2 linked regions of the Astyanax mexicanus genome follow. The protein of the gene in region 2 interacts with the protein of the main gene of each other region in a pairwise test. Links are inferred from orthologs where the notes say so. Each region holds a gene or a part of one and is shown on either strand. Other genes may lie near its edges. The genes, in order: lin7a and pals1a.

Region 1 (9,143 bases), on a different chromosome or scaffold from region 2:
TTTTATATATTTTAATCACTGACAGGGTGCCGAAAATGTTCCAGCTGAGAATGACACAGATGTACTGTATTACATGCACCACAGGACCACCACAGAGCTGGGATTATTGTTTGGGTGGTGGGTCATTATTCTCAGCACTGCAGTGATCAGCTTTGATTATCATGGTGGTGGTGGTGTATGAGGTGTTAGTGTGTGTAGTGCTGGTACAGCAGTGCTGCTGGATTTTTTAAACACCTCAGTGTCACTGCTGGACTGAGAGTAGTCCACCAACCAGCATCTCATGGGCAGCATCCTGTGGGCATTGATGAAGGTCTAGAGGATGACCAACACAAAACGTGCCACAGATGACTTCACATCTACAATGTAGAGAAACTAGTTAAAAGTGTCTAATAGAGTGGACAAAGTGTTTAAATCCCACCGCATATTAAACAACAATCAACTATTATATAACTATAAAGTGCTCCTATATGCACAGTGGAGCTAAAACATAGATTATGGATGTAGAAACAAGTAGTTAGTCACAATGTTATGCTTGATAGGTGTATAATATATACAGTACAAAATAACAATGAATGTAATTCATAAGTCATGTTGCATATTCTGGAATGTAACCTAATGGAACTGGAATAAAGTAAATCATACACCTGGATGTAGCTGGCTTTAACCTGATGAAAATACTGTATTACTGATATTCTTGTCTGTTCTGTGGTACAACAACATGATCTGCCATTTATACAAACAGTAAAATCATAAAGATAAATTATGCATTATGAAATTCCTCACTGAGTATACTGATACATGACCACATGACTAATCATTTTGACTGTCTTGTTCATAATCGATGAATAAATAACTTTTTATTCTGGTGACTGACATGTTCACTTACATGTATACATACGTTTGGGTCATGGGTAAAGGAATTTGATTGCAGTGTGTGCATTTGCTGCTGATAATTTATGTGATGCTGTTTGTACAAGCTGTTCTGAGAAGTGCCCACACTGTGTTGCAAATATTAATTCAGATTTGAGAAATGCACCAAAGTGACTGTATTTGGGCCAAACATGGACTAATGTGTCCTATGGAGAAAACTGTGACACTTGGCCCCAGATATAATAGGCATAAAAATCACCACCAAATTGGTTCCATGACAATGCCTGACCGAGATGGCGACTAGCTCGACCAAAACATGTGGCAGGTCTATGAATCCACCCCTTACACAGGTGCCATTAGACCTAGATCACCAATGCTGTTCATTTCACATGGCATTGATTTTAATGTTACAATCAGTACTGTATAGCAAATTTGTTTATACTGGTTGACCTGACTGGTTGGGCTAAACTGTCAAACCCAGATAAAACAAATAGCTTATACTGGTCAAGAACTATATATAGAGCTTTATTGCCAAATATATTAATTCACCCATTCAAAAAAAAATTTACTTCAGGTGTTCTCATTACCAGCGGCCACTGGACTGTAGAACAGTTGTGACATGTTCTCTGGAGAGACCAATCATGCTAATTTTGTCTGGCTGCATTGTGCCAAGTGTAAAGTTTGGTGGAGGGGGATTAAGGTTTTTTTTCCAGGAGTTGGGCTTGGCCACTTCCAGTGAAAGAGACTCCTCATGTTTCAGCACACCAAGAGACTTTGGAAAATGTCATGCTCCTAACTCTGCAGCAACAGTTTGGGGATGCCCTTTCCTAATCCAACCTGTCTGCACACCAGTGCTCAAAAAAAGTATTTAAAAACATGGATAAGCATGTCTGTTTTGGAAGAACTTGACTGTTTTGACCTCAAACCCAATAGAACACCTTTGGAATGAATTAGAGTGGAGACAAGAGCCAGGCTTTCTCATCCATTATCAGTACCTGGCCTCACAAATGTGTCAAAAAAAACTTATAAACACACTCCCAAACCTTGTGGAAAGCCTTTCCAGAAGAAATAAAAGTGTTATAGCTGCAGAGGGTAAGCTCACATCATTCAAACCTCTATGGGTTAAAAAAGAGCAAATATTTTTGGCAATATATTGTAAGTTAGTCAACCAGTTTAACCAAATTGGTTAAGCTGGCCAGGCTGTTTTAGCAGTCTGCACTGTTTTGGCTGTACATTACATCCAGCAAGTGACCCATGAAGAACTTGTAAATAGCTGGGCTCGTAGATAGCAGCATTTTATCCTCTTCCAGCTTACCTGCAGTGCTCCAGCCCATTAAACCTCAGCTGGATGTCCCAAACAGAACCCTGCTCTGGGGCTGCTGCTGTTCCACTCCATATAAACCCACAGATTACACCAGGACTGCCTGGACAAGAATTGCCAAAACCATCACTCATACTGAACAGGAGCAGTGGACATCCTCAGATCATTAACAGTCAATATAAACCAACAGCCTCACAATAAATGCATCATCCATATATCTCTCTGTCTTACACACCCTCTTTCTTTCTCGTTCTCTTCCTCATCATCCCTATCTCTTTCTCTTTCTTGAGCTCTCTCTCTCATTTATTCACTCTGGATGACTGCATGACATAGGGCCTGTACTTTCTAGTCTAGTACCATTAAATACAGTTTATGAAATTGTGAAGGCACCTGTATGGCACCACATCACATTTAATACACTGGTGGCACTTCTCAATTAGAGGGGCACCTAACTGAGCACATCATCATGTTCTTTCAACTGTAGGAGAACACCATTCATTCACTCTACTGGAAAGGGCACTCTTTGGGACACGTTATAATGGCACCCCTACTACTACTGAAACGGCAGACGGGCACTCACAGATGGCACTCTTTAAGACAAATTATTAACATTTCTTGATCTAACAGCACAGCAACATCATTTATTCTAAGAAGGGGCACCTAATGGGCACTCAATCACTGTTTGTCCCGACTAGATGGGCAGACAATAGGGTTATTTGTCTCCTTTTCCACTTTAGATGGCACTTTAGTGACACTTTTTTACCATGGGGTCACCAAAGGGGCAGTTGCCCACTCTCTTTAATTATTCTGTCTTTTTCTCAACCTTTATCCCACTCATATATATTGTACTTCTGTATTACTGTACTACTGTACCCATTCTCTCTATCATTACATTTATCTCTCATACTACCCCTTCTCTGTCTATACCTCTTTTTCTCATTAACCCCATCTCTTTCTCTTTTACTATTTTATTCTCCCTTTTCTTGTTATCCCCATCTTGTCTCTTCCACCCCTCTCTCTTTTTCTTACTTTCTCCATCTCTTTTACACCTTTACTCTTTTACTCTCTCATACTATATCTATTTTTCTTTCTCTTTATGATCCCCATCTCTCCTTTACCCTTTCTCTCTTAACCTTACAATATTTCTCTCTCCCACTTTCTCTCTTAATCACTATCCTTAATCCACTATTCTCATTAATTCTCTTATTTTTATCTTAATTCTCTATTCTTCATAATCCTTTTCTCACAGCCTCTTTTATTCTCTTTATTCCTATAAACAGTACCTCTCTAATCAATTCTTTCTTCCTATCACTCATCCCTATTTTTCTTTTTCTCTTACTGCCTTTTTCTCATCAACCTTTCTCTCTTTTACTCATAATTGCTATCTCTCTCTCTCTCTCTCTCTCTCTCTATCTATCTCTCTCTCAGTCAACTCTCCCTCTCTCACATAATCTCTCCCTATCTCACACTACCTTTCTGGTGTTCTCTCACTCTCGCACATTCTCACACTATTTTTTCTTTCTCTACACCCCTTTCTTACTATCATTTCATTCTCTTTTATCTTATTACCTCTTTCTCATCGCTTCCCTCTCACTCTATAATCATCATTACTATCGCTCTCTTAACGCTTTCTTCCTATCTCTCATCCTTATTTCTCTCCCTTTCTCTCTCATTCTGCACCCCTCACACTTTCTTGTGTATTCCATTTCACTTATTCCTATCTCTTTCTCATACATCTCTTAATTCCTAACGCACTCTCTCACTAACTCTCCCACTCATCCCCTCTGTCTCTCACTCTTTTTCTGTACCTCCCTGCCTCGCTCTTGTTTTTTTTACTGCTTATTCTCTTTCTTAGTCTCTCTCACTTACTCTCTCCTCCCTATCTCCATCTTTTAACTCTTTATTAATCTCTCTCCCATTCTCTCTCCTCTTCCGTCTATATTTCCCACTGTTTTTGTACACCCGTCTCTCACTATCACTCTCTCTCACTCTGTACCTCTTTTTCCCCTCACCCCTTCCTCACACTATCTCTCTGCTACTTGTTCTCTCCATCACTCTCTCTCTCTATCTTCAGTTAATTCTCACTATCTCTCTCTCATCACTCTCTCTTCAGTTCATTCTTTCTATTTCTCACCTCTCTCTCTTTAGTTCATTCTTCCTATCTCTCTCTCTCTCTCTTCATCTCTCTCTCTTCAGTTCATTCTTCCTTGCTCTCTCTCTCTATAATAACCCCTCTCTTCTCCTACTCTTCCTCTCACTCACTACTCCTCGCTCTGTTTATCCTTCTCTCACTCTCTTCACTCCCCCTCCCATCCCCTTACTCTCTCTCTCTCTCTCTCTCTCTCTCTCTCTCTCTCTCTCTCTCTCTCTCTCTCTCTCTCTCTCTCAGTGTGTGCAGTAATAGAAGGCAGACATGGCGACGGTGGTCCAGCCGCTGACTCTGGAGCGAGGTAAGCGCGCGATGGATCCGCTAGATCCGGGCTCTAATTCGCTTAGATTCGGTTTATTTTATCTCCCGTGTAAACGCTTTAATTCCCGTATAGTTCGTATGAACGGCGTTTTTTATGGAGTGTGTTGCGCCGCGCGCTCCGGCTCGAGCCGCCGTGCTCGCGCTCGCTCGCTCGCTCGGTGTGGTGTGTGTAGTCTATCTGTCAGTAAACCAGGCTGAATTACTCCCACCTGTGCACACACCCGCGCGCGCTTTACTCGCGTGCACGCGCGTCCTTTACTCTCCGCTGTTTCTGTTTACTCCTGTACCTGAAGTTCGGGTCCAAACAATGGAGGGAGGGGGGTACAGGCAGGTGCTTCTGCCGCGCACGAGCTCCCAGACCCCCCTGTCATCATGCGCGAGCTGCGCGTGCACGCAGACGTTGCACAGCATCACTGGAGTAATGATGAGATCTGAGCTCGTGCTTCTGTTTTATGTTTTATGTTGTTTTGCGTACAATTCTCTAAAGGGGCTGCTGACTATGTGTTTCAGTGGAGTATTATGGGATGCGCGCGCGCGCGTGTGTGTTTGTGTGTTTTGTGTGTGTGTGCACTGTGCATGCACTATAGCCCCTAACTGGGAGTTAAGCCAGAATGGGTACGATGGTGTGAGTGTGCTGTGTTTCTGGTTGTACTGGTGTTCCTCAGGCCGATCTCTAATTGCCATAATCTTTAAATGGCCATAATAGTGTGTAGTCAAAATCTTCCACGATTAATTCCGGTCGATATGATATAATTATTATATGAATATGAACAGTAAAAAGCCTCCACCTGTGGTGCTCATCACTCAGTGACACTGCCAGGCTACAGTACTCTGTAGTGTTCTGCCCTTTGTGCTCAGCTTGAATTCAGTGAACTGACAGCAGCTCCCTGTTATGGACATCAGTCAGAGACAGATGTAAAATACTGTATGTCTCTCACAATCCTAGACCAGTATTTTATATTTTGATTTACCTTTATTCAACTAAAAATTATTGATAATTAGTAGAAGACGGTCACACTGATTATGGCTATAGTTCATGCTAATTGTAGTTATTGTAGTGTCCCGGCTAACTGGTGATTCTCATTGTTATTCTGAGCTGGATTATTCACTGATTTGATGGATATCTGATATGTAGATTATATCTGTATGATGCACGGTTGTTCAGTTATGAAGCTTAATAAGTTAATAGGTTATAAGTTTGGGGCTTAATGCGGGCCTCAGACGGGTAAAAATTATTTGACTGTTATTTTATAATAATTCATATAATAATAAATATTGATATTCAATTATTGTCCATTCCTAGTGTATACTGTGTAACTGGTGGTAGTGATGTGGTCAGCAGGCTAGGCTGAGCAAGGCTGGGATATTAATAGAGTAATGGGATAGCACTGGCCCATGGTATAACTGGTATGGCAGTAGCCCTTGCCCTGGTATGAGAGGTATGCTGGGTTATGGTGTTTTAAGGCTGTCTGGGTTAGTGATGGATGGTATAATGTGCTGTTAGCACACACTGAAGTGAGTGGCTCAGTAGGTTAGAGTGCTGCAGCCCTGATTTTATTATACTGCTTTAATGGCCTGTACCCTACATTTCTCTACTTGAGTATTTCTGATCTTTTTATAACATGTACTCAGTCACAATTCACATTTACACAACACACAGACTTTATGTTTATGTGAAGACTTTACACAATTTACTGAATTTAATATAGGGCAAAAATATCAAATATGACACTGAAGCTGTATTATTTTTTTGAAAAAACTGCATAAAGCTAATATAGGCTTTACAATTATACAGTACAGTACACCCCTCACATTTTAGTAGATATTTTCTTATATTTTTTATGGGACAACACTGAAGATATGATATTTTAAAACAATGTAAAGTAGTCAGTGTACAGCTTGTATAACCAGGGCTCTCAAGTTTTAAAGTGGTGGTAGTGTTCGCAGGTCTTCTTCAGTTGTACGAAGTTGTGGATGCGCGCTGTTCTTCTTCAGTTGTACAACGGGGGGAGCTGGGTGGGATTGGTGGATGTGCAAGTGTGGGCAGGTTTGCCGCCGTTCTCCTTCAGTTGTTCACCGAGTGTTTCAGAACTTTTGAATTGGACAGTTCTTCGCACCACCCTCTTTGACTAGGTCTGCCAAACAACAGAGTGATTTTTATTCTGATTGGCTCAACAAGAGTACATTATAATATACAGCCGATGGATTGGTAAGCGTGAGAAATACCATGTGTGGTGTGTGAGCGTGTGAACTCGCTGAGGTGCTCAAAGCGTGAGACTTGAGAACACTGTGTATAACAGTGTAAATTTGCTGTAACTTAATTCAATAGTCTGAACCACTAGAAACAAAAGTGAGTATATCTCTAAGTCAAAATAGCAAAATTGTGCCTAAAGCACCAACATTTTATGTGGCCACCAATATTTCCCAGCACCTCCTTAATCCTCTTGGTCATCGCATTCCTCAGAGCTTCCCAGATCGCCACTGCAATCCTCTTCCACTCCTCCATGACGAAATCATAAATCTAGCCTTTAGAGACCTTGCAATCCTCCACCTTTAATTTAAGGATGCCCCAGATGTGCTCAATTGAGTTTAGGTCTTGAGACATACTTGGCCAGTCCATTACCTTTTTCTTCAGCTTCCTCAGCGAGACAGTTGTCATCTTGGAGTTGTGTTTGAGATTGTTATTGTGTTGGAAATCTGCCATGTGGCCCAGTTTTCAAAGGGAGGAAATCATGCTCTGCTTCAGAATGTCACAGTACATTGAATTCAGCTTTCCAGTGTTGGCAGCACCAGGCCATGCATGTATCCCATGTTCTTGGACTGCTTGTCTTCAGCAAACTGTTTGTTGGCTTTCTTGTGCATCAGCTTTAGAAGAGATGTCCTTCTAGGTCAGTGCCATGCAGACTGAGTTCATGCAGTATATGCCACTTTTTTTAAAGCCAACCTCTGGATATAATGCTGTACATGTGGACTCAACTTCTTTGGTCAACCCTGGGGGGCTTGGGTGGAACCGGTCCTGGAAAACTGCTTTATGACCTTGGCCATCATGCTGTATCTCAGTTTTAGGGTGTTACCAAACGTCTTTTAGCCTACGCTATGAAGTGCCATAATAAATGTCCACGTTTAAATGGCCTGCTGCCCATTTACATCCTTGTAATACTAAGGAGTCACATGATACGAGGAACGGAATATGTGTATTTGGGCACAATTTGCCCATTTTAACTTAGAGGTGTACTCATATTTTTGCCAGTGGTTTAGACAATAATGGATTGTGTTAAGTTTTTTGAGGGTACAGAAAATGTACACTGTTGTATACTGACTAAGTTACATTGTATCAATGTGTCATATCTTCAGTGTTGTCCAATGAAAAGATATAAAACAGTATTTACAAAAATGTGAAAGGTGTACTCACTTTTGTGCGATACTGTATATAAATACATATGTGTTTTTTTCTGGCGTCTTCAGATTGGAAACCAATTTAGTTAGCTGATTTATAGATTGTACAAAGTATGTTTTTACCTGGATGACCAGTTTTTCAACTACCTTGACCATCAAGAGACTATCTGAAACCAGCTGTTTAGGACAGTGTTGTTGCTATTTCTAATGCTACAGGTCCTTTAATAATAAATGTAGATTGCTGTTTCTGAATGTACAGTTTAAAATGAATTATGGTTATTATGTGTAAAGTGTGGCTAGTTTTGAGCATTAGCATCCCAGCGGGGCTAATGGATGCATTAGCGAGGGTCAGAGTTTTGTGTAAATGAAGAGAATGTAAATCAGGGCTGCAGAGGTGCTAATAGGACGGCGCAGGGATGAACAGCACCGTGATTTAGCTTGAATTGAGTTTTAAAAGCTTTTACATGTTTAAACTGATTCTACTTTACTCCAAGTGTAGTCCATTCCATACAGTAATATATGTTCAGTGTCAGAAGGTTAGCTTCTCTAGTTTTACACCGGAGCTACGAGGCTAATGTAGCTAACAAATCTGAGGTACCTTGTGTACAGCAGTCAGCATGATGCTAATTGAGTGTCTAATCACTGAGTATATAAAAACATGGACAGCATAATGTCTTTCATAGTGAAGCTACCACAGGTGCAATGCCTCTGCTGACTGGTTGCAGTATGACGTGTAGCACCACCTATCTCTGTATGTTTAAATTACAAAACAGCCCCGCCCATTTTCCATCTCATTTTCTCAGCTAAACTGTCTTTCCATCTCCAGTGTCTACAATTTCTACAGTTAGTTTTAACAGGCAGTCATGCCTGGAACAGACTGTCTGCATTATGTGGAGTAGCTGAGTTATAGTCTAGCTGTCAGATAGCTGAGTAGCTACTTAATCGCTAACAGTATTATGATCATGTGGTGTGATTGCATTACCAGTTACTTTGTACACTCTGTACAGATCGGATTGATGTTAGTACAGAATGTCTAAAGTGATCTAATTACTTTTTAAACAGTATTATAAATACTGTAAATACTTG
Region 2 (9,252 bases):
CGTCCCGCATCTCTACCGGCCTCGTACCGCATCACCTCCGGCCTCATCCTGCATCACCACTGGCCTCGACCTGCATCACTAACGGCCTCATCCTGCGGGCAGGATAAATGTCCAGTACAAATGATACATACACTTGCATTCACACATACAGCCATCTAGGTAATGTTCAGTAGAGTACTGGGGCAGTAGTGTACATGTGTGAAAGGGATTTAGGATGATCGACTCCAGTCTATACCCTGATTCACAAGCAACTTGTGTATCACTAATCTTTAGCTTATATTCAGCTCTCTCTTTCTTTCTCTCCTCCTGTATTTCAGGTAACCCTGTGTCCGCTGTCGTCACCTGTAACCTGTTCGTCATTCCTGCGTTAAGAAAGATGCAGGGTATCCTGGACCCACGGCCCACTATCATCAAAGCCAGGGTAAGTAAGACCCTAAGGGCCTGGAAAAAGGTCCCAATTTTTTTTTTTTTTTTTGATTTCCTGCACCTTAATAAACTTTATCAAAAGATGACCTCTTTATGTCAGTGGTAAACTACAACGGTATGTACTCATATATTTTACAGTGGGTTTGAAGTCACAAGGTCACATTTTGAGAAACTTTAATAGCTTTATTCATTACTTGTTTGTTCAGTAATTTTCCCACCATCTCTAAAATGCCACTCAATGCTAAAGGGAGACATGTGAGCATGGCGGGAGTGTTCCTTAATCTTGGTAAAATATACAGCGGTGTGAAAAGGTTTGGCCACCCCTGATGAATTTCATGATTTTCTTTTATGAATTTTTGGTTGTTTATATCAGCAATTTCAGTTAAATATATCATATAGCAGAAGAAAACAGATTTATTTGAGAAGCGAAATTTGAGGAGATCCTTTTTATTTAGTGGATATATATTTAGTAGATCCTACTTTTGCTGAAATAACAGCCTTTAAACGCTCCCTATAGCTTCCAATGAGAGTCTGGTTTCTGGCTGAAGGTATTTTGGATCATTCTTCTTTACAAAACATCTCAAGTTCAGTCAGGTTTGATGGTTTCTGAGCATGAACAGCCCGCTTTAAAATCACACCAAAGATTTTGTATAATATTCAGGTCTGGGGACTCAGATAATCATTCCAGAACGTTGTACTTGTTCCTCTGATTTTAAGCAGTGTTTAGGGTTGTGGGAAGTATCCAACTTTAACTGTCACTGATTCTTGAACACTGACTGGAATCCATGTGACCCTCAACTTTAACAAGATTCCCAGTACCTGCACTGGACATACAGCCCCCCAGTATGATGGAACCACCACCACTCTGGGTAGCAAGTGTTTGTCTTGGAATGCTGTGTCTTTTTTTCCACCATGCATACTGCCCTCCAAATAATTTTGTTTAAAGAATTATTGCACACTTTCTGTAAATCCTATTAACTTTATTTCACTTCTCAGATATCATGGTGTTCATCTGCTACATAACATATTTAACTGAAATTGCTGATCCGAACCACCAATTTATAAAGAAAAATCATTTTAAAATATTCAGTTGTGCCCAAACTTTTAATACCACTGTAATAATATAAAAGTTAAGTTTAGTAAAATAAAAGTTCAGTTCAGCAAGGATGGTGGTTATAGTTTGTTGTTTATCATGGTTTGTACATTTGAATTGCACTCAATTATTTGTTGGCCCGTATTAGACTCTGTTTTTTGTGCTCGGGTTTCATAATAAATTATGTTTTTCTTCATAGCTGTCCTGTGATGTAAAGCTGGACCCCCGTCCGGAGTATCATCGCTGTATATTAACGTGGCATCACCAGGAGCCTCTGCCCTGGGCACAGAGCACAGGTAGGGGAGACTTTACACTAATCAGAATTAATAATCTGGTTACAGTGGCACCTAGATGTGGAACATACACCAATCCTTGTCCACCATATATTTCAGTTGTATATTAGTTAAGTCTGAGGGGTAGTCCTGTATTTGTTTCTCTGCATACTTTATTATTCTCCTTTTTTTACCCTGTTCTTCAATACTTGAGGCCCCATAGGAGAGACTACCACAGAGCAGCTATAATTATTTGGGTGGTGCGTCTTTACACCTTAACACCTCATACACCACCACCATGCTAATCAGTGCTAATCACTGCAGTGCTACGACCCACCACCTTTGGGGTCCTGAGGATTGAAGAACAGGATAAAAGGAAGAGAATAAAAAAGTATACAGAGAACAGATACAGATACAGTGTGTAAAAAGGACTCAAGTCTGAAGAGGAGTCAGTTTGGATGTAATTTATCTTAAAACCGGTTTAACTCGCTCTTTTTTTTCTTCCCTCTCTCAGGAAACCAGATGAGCAGTCGGTTGATGAGCATGCGCAGTGCCAACGGACTTCTAATGCTGCCTCCCAAAACAGAGCAATACGTGGAGCTGCACAAAGGAGAGGTGGTGGACGTGATGGTCATAGGACGGCTATGATGCTGTCTTAGGAGGACCAGTAAGCCCAGAGCGAAGTGGTGCATGTCCACATATCATTTACTACTCTGTAATATGCAACGGCACAGCAAGTTTTTATCGATTTGGATAATGATGATCAAGTATAATCATATAAACATTTTGAAACAAAAACTTCTGAACAAATTTATGAGTATTTCAAGACTTCAAAGACATCCTAGTATTTCAAAGAAAGAAAGATATACCTTTTAAAGAAGATATATATATATATATATATATATATATATATATATATATATATATATAAGAAAGAAAAGAGATTTATTCTGTAATATATTATAATAATATAATGATTAATATAATTATATATATTATCATCATCATATTAAGCAACTCTCCTCTGTCTTTCATCGCAATTGCTTTTGTGTGCTCAGTGCTAGACCTTATAGATAGCAGTAGCATTTTAATAAAGAGCTGTATGCGCCTGTCCAGATTACATCACTGGAAAAGATTTATTTATTTTTTTTTTTTTTGAGGGACAGAACCGCTCGAGATGACAGCAGAGTTTTTTCTCGGTTTCCCGTCTCTATCGGACTCATTCAACACCACTCGGTGCACCGAGGTGACCCAGCTTTTTTCCCTTTAGTATTATACTGTATGCTCCATTGAAGCTTCATTGCACTTCATAAAGGCCTCACAGAACTGCTTTGCTTGTCGTTTATCTCGTGAGTCGTGTTTATGTGCGCGGTGCCAAAGGCCTGGGCCGGGGAGGGAGTGGAGTGTGGTTATGAAACTGAGAGACAAACGTTTGATTAGTTTATCAGTGTGGACTAATGGTTAATTTATAACAGCAGCGCTTTGTAATGGGCATTTAAATCCAGAGTTTAGCTTTTTCTTTTTTTTTAATTAAAGCAGTTAAATGTTGACTAATCGACTAATTAAAAGAATCATTATTAGATTAGTTGACTACCAAAATAATCATCAGCCCTGTTAGCCCTACTGTTCACAAATGACACATCTGTGTCACCCATATAATGTAAAACATTGGATTTGGTCCACATTTACCTGCTGTGTCTAGTAGTAAAATGCACATATGTTAGTGCAGTTTCTGTTATCCTAGCTACTGATTATATGGAAGGTACATGTTCGATTTGTGCTGCTGAAACACATGAAAGAGCTGGAGCGGTCGGTCCGGCAGACTTCCTCGGTCCAAAACATCCATCATAACCATCTCTCTTCATCGCTCCGCCCTTATTACTCCCAACCCTGCCCTATACCCCACCTCTTTAACCAGCCCCACCCACTCCTAGAGGCTGAGGGAGCTGGGACCTTTTATTTCTTTGACTTTAAAAGGACAATACAGCTTATTTAATTGCTGACAGCCTTTTTAACCTAAATAAATAAATATATAATGTACAGTCAAAACATATATACAAACAAACATAGAAAAGACAACGAACACGAGAGTGGTGATGTACAGATGTGTGACCAGCACTCCTTATGGAATATATTGAAGCAATGAGGAGACAAAACTCTGTACTATAATAACTTTTTTTCTGTAATGATATTCAAACTGATGAAATTAAAATCCTTGATCATTCTGTAAAAAACATGTGGTTCAGTTTCTCTTTTTAAAATAAACATTGAAAGATGGCTGAAGTTTCTGACCGTGTTCTGTTTTTCAAATGGAAAGGAGCATTCACAATTTTGAGAACACTTGTGGTCCGAATGACTGTTACTGTAAAAAGCCAGGTAAGTAGAAGGTGAGCCAATCTCCAAAAAGGCAAAATGTTTAAACAAAGATTTCCTTTTTATGTCTTAAGCAAGAGAAGCTTTTTTAGGATATAATTTCCTCAGTTTCAGATATTTATAAAGAAATGACAGTTAACAGGTACAGTAGAGGTAAAGATAAGGTCTGGAAAACCCAGACCATTTTTAGAGGCAGGGTTCAGCTCTCTATTCTAGAAAGGCACAAAAGACCTTCCTGAAGATGGATCAGACTCCTGAATTGTAGTGCAGCACTGTTCCACTGTAAAGGTATGTGGGTTGTCTTTAGTAAGACTGTCCTATTAAAAGTCCTTCTCAGTATCCTGTTAGTCACACCTACGGAACTGTCTAGACTTAGTGGTGACACTGGTTGTGTGCCTTTTCATTTCTTAAGCATTCATATATATATATATATATATATATATATATTTATTTATATTTATATATTTTTTTATTTTTTTATTTATTTGCCCGCCCACTGAATAACATAAAATTTTACTCAGGAATACAGAAGAATTTTCCAGTTTTAGTATTATGGCAAAGTTTAGATAAGAGGGCGTTTTTCATTATGCCCAACACTGTGCAGTTGGTATATATATATATATATATATATATATATATATATATATATATATATATATATATATATATATATATACTTTCTTTTTAAGCCACTAGGAGTGGCATAAAGTTATCCAAAAGCAGTGTGTAAGGCTGGTGGAGGGGAACATGCCAAGATGCATGAAATCTGTGATTAAAAACGAGGGTTATTCCACCAAATATTTATTTCTGATCTTAAAAGCTTATTAATATGATTTTTTTTGTATTATTTGAGGTCTCAAAGCTCTGCGCCTTTTTTGTAAATTTGACCATTTCTCATTTTCTGCAAATAAATGCTCTAAAGGACAATATTTTTATTTGGAATATGGGAGAAATGCTGTCTGCCGTTTATAGAATAAATCAACAAATGTTCTTGATACACAAACATCTACCTATAAATAGCGAAATCAGAGAAACTGGTTCAGAAACTTTTGTTCCAGAGCTGTAATGTTATATATTTATATGTAAGAGACTACTTGAGTTTCTCTGATTTTGCTATTTATAGGTATATGTTTGAGTAAAATGAACAGATTAGTGTTGTAAAACTGTTTAGGCTTTGGAAAAAAATATATGTTCTTGTCTGAACCCGAGGGGGCGCTGCAGAGTCACTTACCGCCCCCTCTCCCCCCTCCCCCCCCTCCCCGTCTCACTTTACCACAACATGTCGCGAGCCCGGGCCGCGGCCGCTCTGCTGCGCTGCTGTATGTGAGGAGCGACTCGGCGGATACGGATTAAAACCGGGAAGTCTCCGCGGATTTTAGCCCGAGAGGTAAAGACCAACTTTCCCCGCTGTTCTTTCAGTCCTCGGCCCGCAGTGTTTAGTGTCTTGGTGCGGCGGCGCGGCTCCGCTCGCGAGCTCTGCGCTCCCTCGCGACAGGTTGCCAGGAGCGGCGCGCGCGGCGGGCGGGGGAGCGCTGTTAGCCTGTTAGCTTGTTAGCCTGTTAGCTAAGCAGCTACTTGTAAACTCTTCAGCGCTTCTAAAGGAGCGGGCGGACTCACGGCGCGCACCGCGCTGTTTTAACACTTCCTTCTGGTAAATATTCCTGTTTCTGAGGGATTACTTGACATTAACGGGGCTGAATTTGTTCTCCGCGAGTCGTTAAACAGTAAAGTGAATAGTTTAGCTTAACCAGCTAATTTAACCCACAGCTGCTCCGTCCCGGGGCTGAGTTTCACCAACACAGCCTCTTCACAACTTCGCGAACTAATTCTTACAAACACTCGTAATTTCGAGTGTTCCCCCCCTAAACCTCCATAGTTAACTAACTAACTAACCCTAGCTAAATTAAACAAAACTTTAATTAGCTGTTTAATGTCTAATCCGACCTTATGCTTATTTACAAGTGTACTCTACTCACAGCACAGCGCCCCCGGCCGATGTAATTTATAAAGGTGTATAAACTACTAGAAACCCAGATATGAGTAAGTTAAACGTTATCCATCAAAAAGTTATTAACTTAAGTAGAAGTTCAAGTGTTCTTTAATTCCCATGAATACTGAAGTATTTCACATGTTTTGTACTTAAGAGCTGCAGCAGGTAGTTTATAGTAAAATGTAGTGCTGAAGTACTGAAAGTAAAAGTACAGTACTGTGTTATATAGATATGAAAGAAAGCAGTGAAAGGGCAGAACGGGAGCAGTATGGTTTTCATATTAGATCAGCTAAATCTCTTGATTCACTCATTGATGAGCAGCAGCTTCATCAAACCCAGTGACAGAGCAGAGCATCTTTCACTCTGGCTTTAGTGATAATGTGAGTTTAAAATGATTTCTAACATTTTTATAATTGTAACGAATAACAATACAGATTATTTTTGTAGTGGACTTGTATAAGACTGAGTGCAGATAAATAAATACATATTCTAAATATACCTTGACACAATTCCTGTTTTAACAATGAGCCATTTACAAAACAAAATACTCTACAATTTTGTTTACCATTACTTTTGCACATGCCACATTATATTTAATTTTCTTAATTTAATGTTAAATTAAGTTATTGAATTATAATTATACTCCATGATGTTCAAGCATGTTTATTTTTGTCTGGATGTAAATTCTCTACATTTTAGAAAATAAAGAAATTTTGCAATTTAACCAAGAGTGCTCTAATACAGTAATAATAAAACAAAATGTTACCAATACAATATCTTAGATTTTCCCCTACTCAACTTTCGCCTTCTGTTTTGAAGTTCTACATATTGCCATAAATTAATTTAAAATAAAAAATGGTTTTGTGGTGAAAATTTATTTTTGGCAAGCTGAAAATGTTCAATGTTGAACTGGAATTAGGCTGAAACGATTAGTTGATATAATTAAGCAATGACTGATAGAATTAAGCAATAATACACTCATGCCTAAGACTGCAGCACAGCAGTGCCAATATTACACATTATAGCAGAACCTTCGAATGTATTGTTGTGATTATACCGCAGTTCCATTATCGCTGTTTATGGAAAGATTTTGAGCTAAAGAGGACGAGAAAATACCATCTGTTTGGTTATAAACACTTAGAGTTAAAATAGTTATATTACTGCTCCATTTGTAGCTGCGCTGTTTGCCTTGTAAGTGCTGCATCGTTGCTAGGTTACCTGCATGTGGCAGAGTAATACATGGAGAGCTTCGGTTACCGTGCATTACCAGCTGATAATGGCACTCAATTTGTTTGGTTCAGTTTGTAGAATGTAAAGGAATGTCCTTGATTTCAAAGATTGTTGTTGATAGAATTTCAAATTCAGAGAAAGTTTGCTTTAGTAGATTTTGTAGTTTTTCCTGTCCATGTTTCCTGAGAGCAGTATTTCCTGAGACCTTTTGACTCACCGCTTCACTGTTCTCCAGTAAGAAATGACATTGTTCTCAGACATCAGGCAGTTTCCTTAGACATGAGCTGAGTTTCACTCAGCCACACCCCAGATACAGGTCTGCAGAAGTCATTAGATGTAAAGTGGATGAAGTCATTGGTTAGGCTGTGTTTTGGCAAGATAGAATACATATCACTTTCCAGGAATTGTGATTGAATAAATTGCAATATAATAGTGATAATGTAAGGAAATATATTGCATTTGTTTTAAAAACTGTCATAGTTAGGAATGTCCCAATCACATTTTTTGTCCTAGAGTAAATCATTTGATTTTGAGTATCTGCCAATACGGAGTCCCGATCCAATAGTATGGCAATGCAGTTATAATAATTGTCTTACAGTGTGGTTTAGGACTGACTAGACTTTTTATTGTATTATAATATCTCAGGGTAGTTTTGATGCTTTTATGGTGTTTTATGATGTTCTGAGTTTAACAGAACTCTGTGGCATGGAGTTCTATAATGTTTTTCTTGGCCCTGTTGAATCAGCTCATTATAAGTTTGAATGTAGGCTATTTGTGACTAGATAATTTAGTATGAATATTGTTCACAAGAGAATATATTTTAATAACAGTGATATTTAAACACATTTTCAGTATTTCAGTATTACTCATCCGAGTGCCACTTTATGACGATAAAGTATATGCCGGTAATCTGACCATCATAACTGGTGACAGATTATCATAACAGATATAATACACACATTATTTTTAACAGCAGGAGTTACTCTAACTAGCACAGTGGTGTCAATCTGTCATCACATTTCTGTGATTAATATAGCTCGGCTAGGTTTAAAAAGCAAGTAGTGTTAACTAGGGACTTACAAACAAACATACACAAATCCAGTGCAGCCCAGTCCTCTCCTTTTATAGATAGATTTATATAAATTTAGTGTTAAAGTTGGGTTATGGGTAGAAAAAAGTGCGTTATATTTCTTATTTACTGTTTCTGTTATCTGATGACAGACCATCTGACATTTTTGTTTCCTCATTCCAGAAGTAATTCACAGCCTATGTTAGTGCTGGGCGATATAACGATATCGATTTGTTTCGCGATAATTTTTCCCTCGATGACGATGATAAGCCTGTGCAATAGAATTCGATAAACATTCATTTCCATTTCCGTCTAAGTGGCGCGGCAAACAACGAAAACACAACGTGTAATCAATCCAGAAGACGCTGGAGCAAATTAATAAATAGTTAAGAAAATTGTAATAGTTATTCTCATGCATGCAACAAAAAACCCTAAAGAATAGTGGAGTATGGCCCGACACACGCAAACAACCATAGTGTTTGGACTTTGGGAATAAACGGCCGCACTGTTCAGCACGTTTTAAATAAATTTTAAGTAAATTTTAAGCACTAAATGTAATTAATTCAATTTATATTAGGACCTCGGGGCAGGTGCTGCAAAAATGTGTATGTGGGGCGCGGATTAAAGGAAGAGGTTTTTTTGCGGAGCGGTAACAGGACAAAAACACCTTAAGAATGATGTCTAAATGACTTTCCTCTAATCTAATATAATTTAACATGGTTTAAGGATATAAAATAATTTCTAAACAAACGAACTTTTTAATATTGAGCTTATGGCCCAAGTGCAAAAACACAAAATC

The links.
Region 1: the proteins of pals1a (region 2) and lin7a interact in binary tests that used the Homo sapiens proteins (3 or more experiments, as listed by UniProt). The two-hybrid records come from large-scale screens. The link is inferred for Astyanax mexicanus from reciprocal best matches to the Homo sapiens genes PALS1 and LIN7A.

Annotation. Positions count from the first base shown.
Region 1 is NC_064409.1:24,819,637-24,828,779, forward strand, and holds the start of lin7a (protein lin-7 homolog A), read left to right. Parts: upstream 1-4,508; 5' UTR 4,509-4,604; coding exon 4,605-4,641; intron 4,642-9,143. UniProt on the Homo sapiens protein: Plays a role in establishing and maintaining the asymmetric distribution of channels and receptors at the plasma membrane of polarized cells.
Region 2 is NC_064421.1:29,476,627-29,485,878, forward strand, and holds the start of pals1a (protein PALS1), read left to right. Parts: upstream 1-5,420; 5' UTR 5,421-5,551; intron 5,552-5,731; exon of another isoform or gene 5,732-5,815; intron 5,816-9,252. Other genes in the region: gphna (gephyrin a), read left to right, coding at 318-421, 1,719-1,815, 2,306-2,439. UniProt on the Homo sapiens protein: Plays a role in tight junction biogenesis and in the establishment of cell polarity in epithelial cells.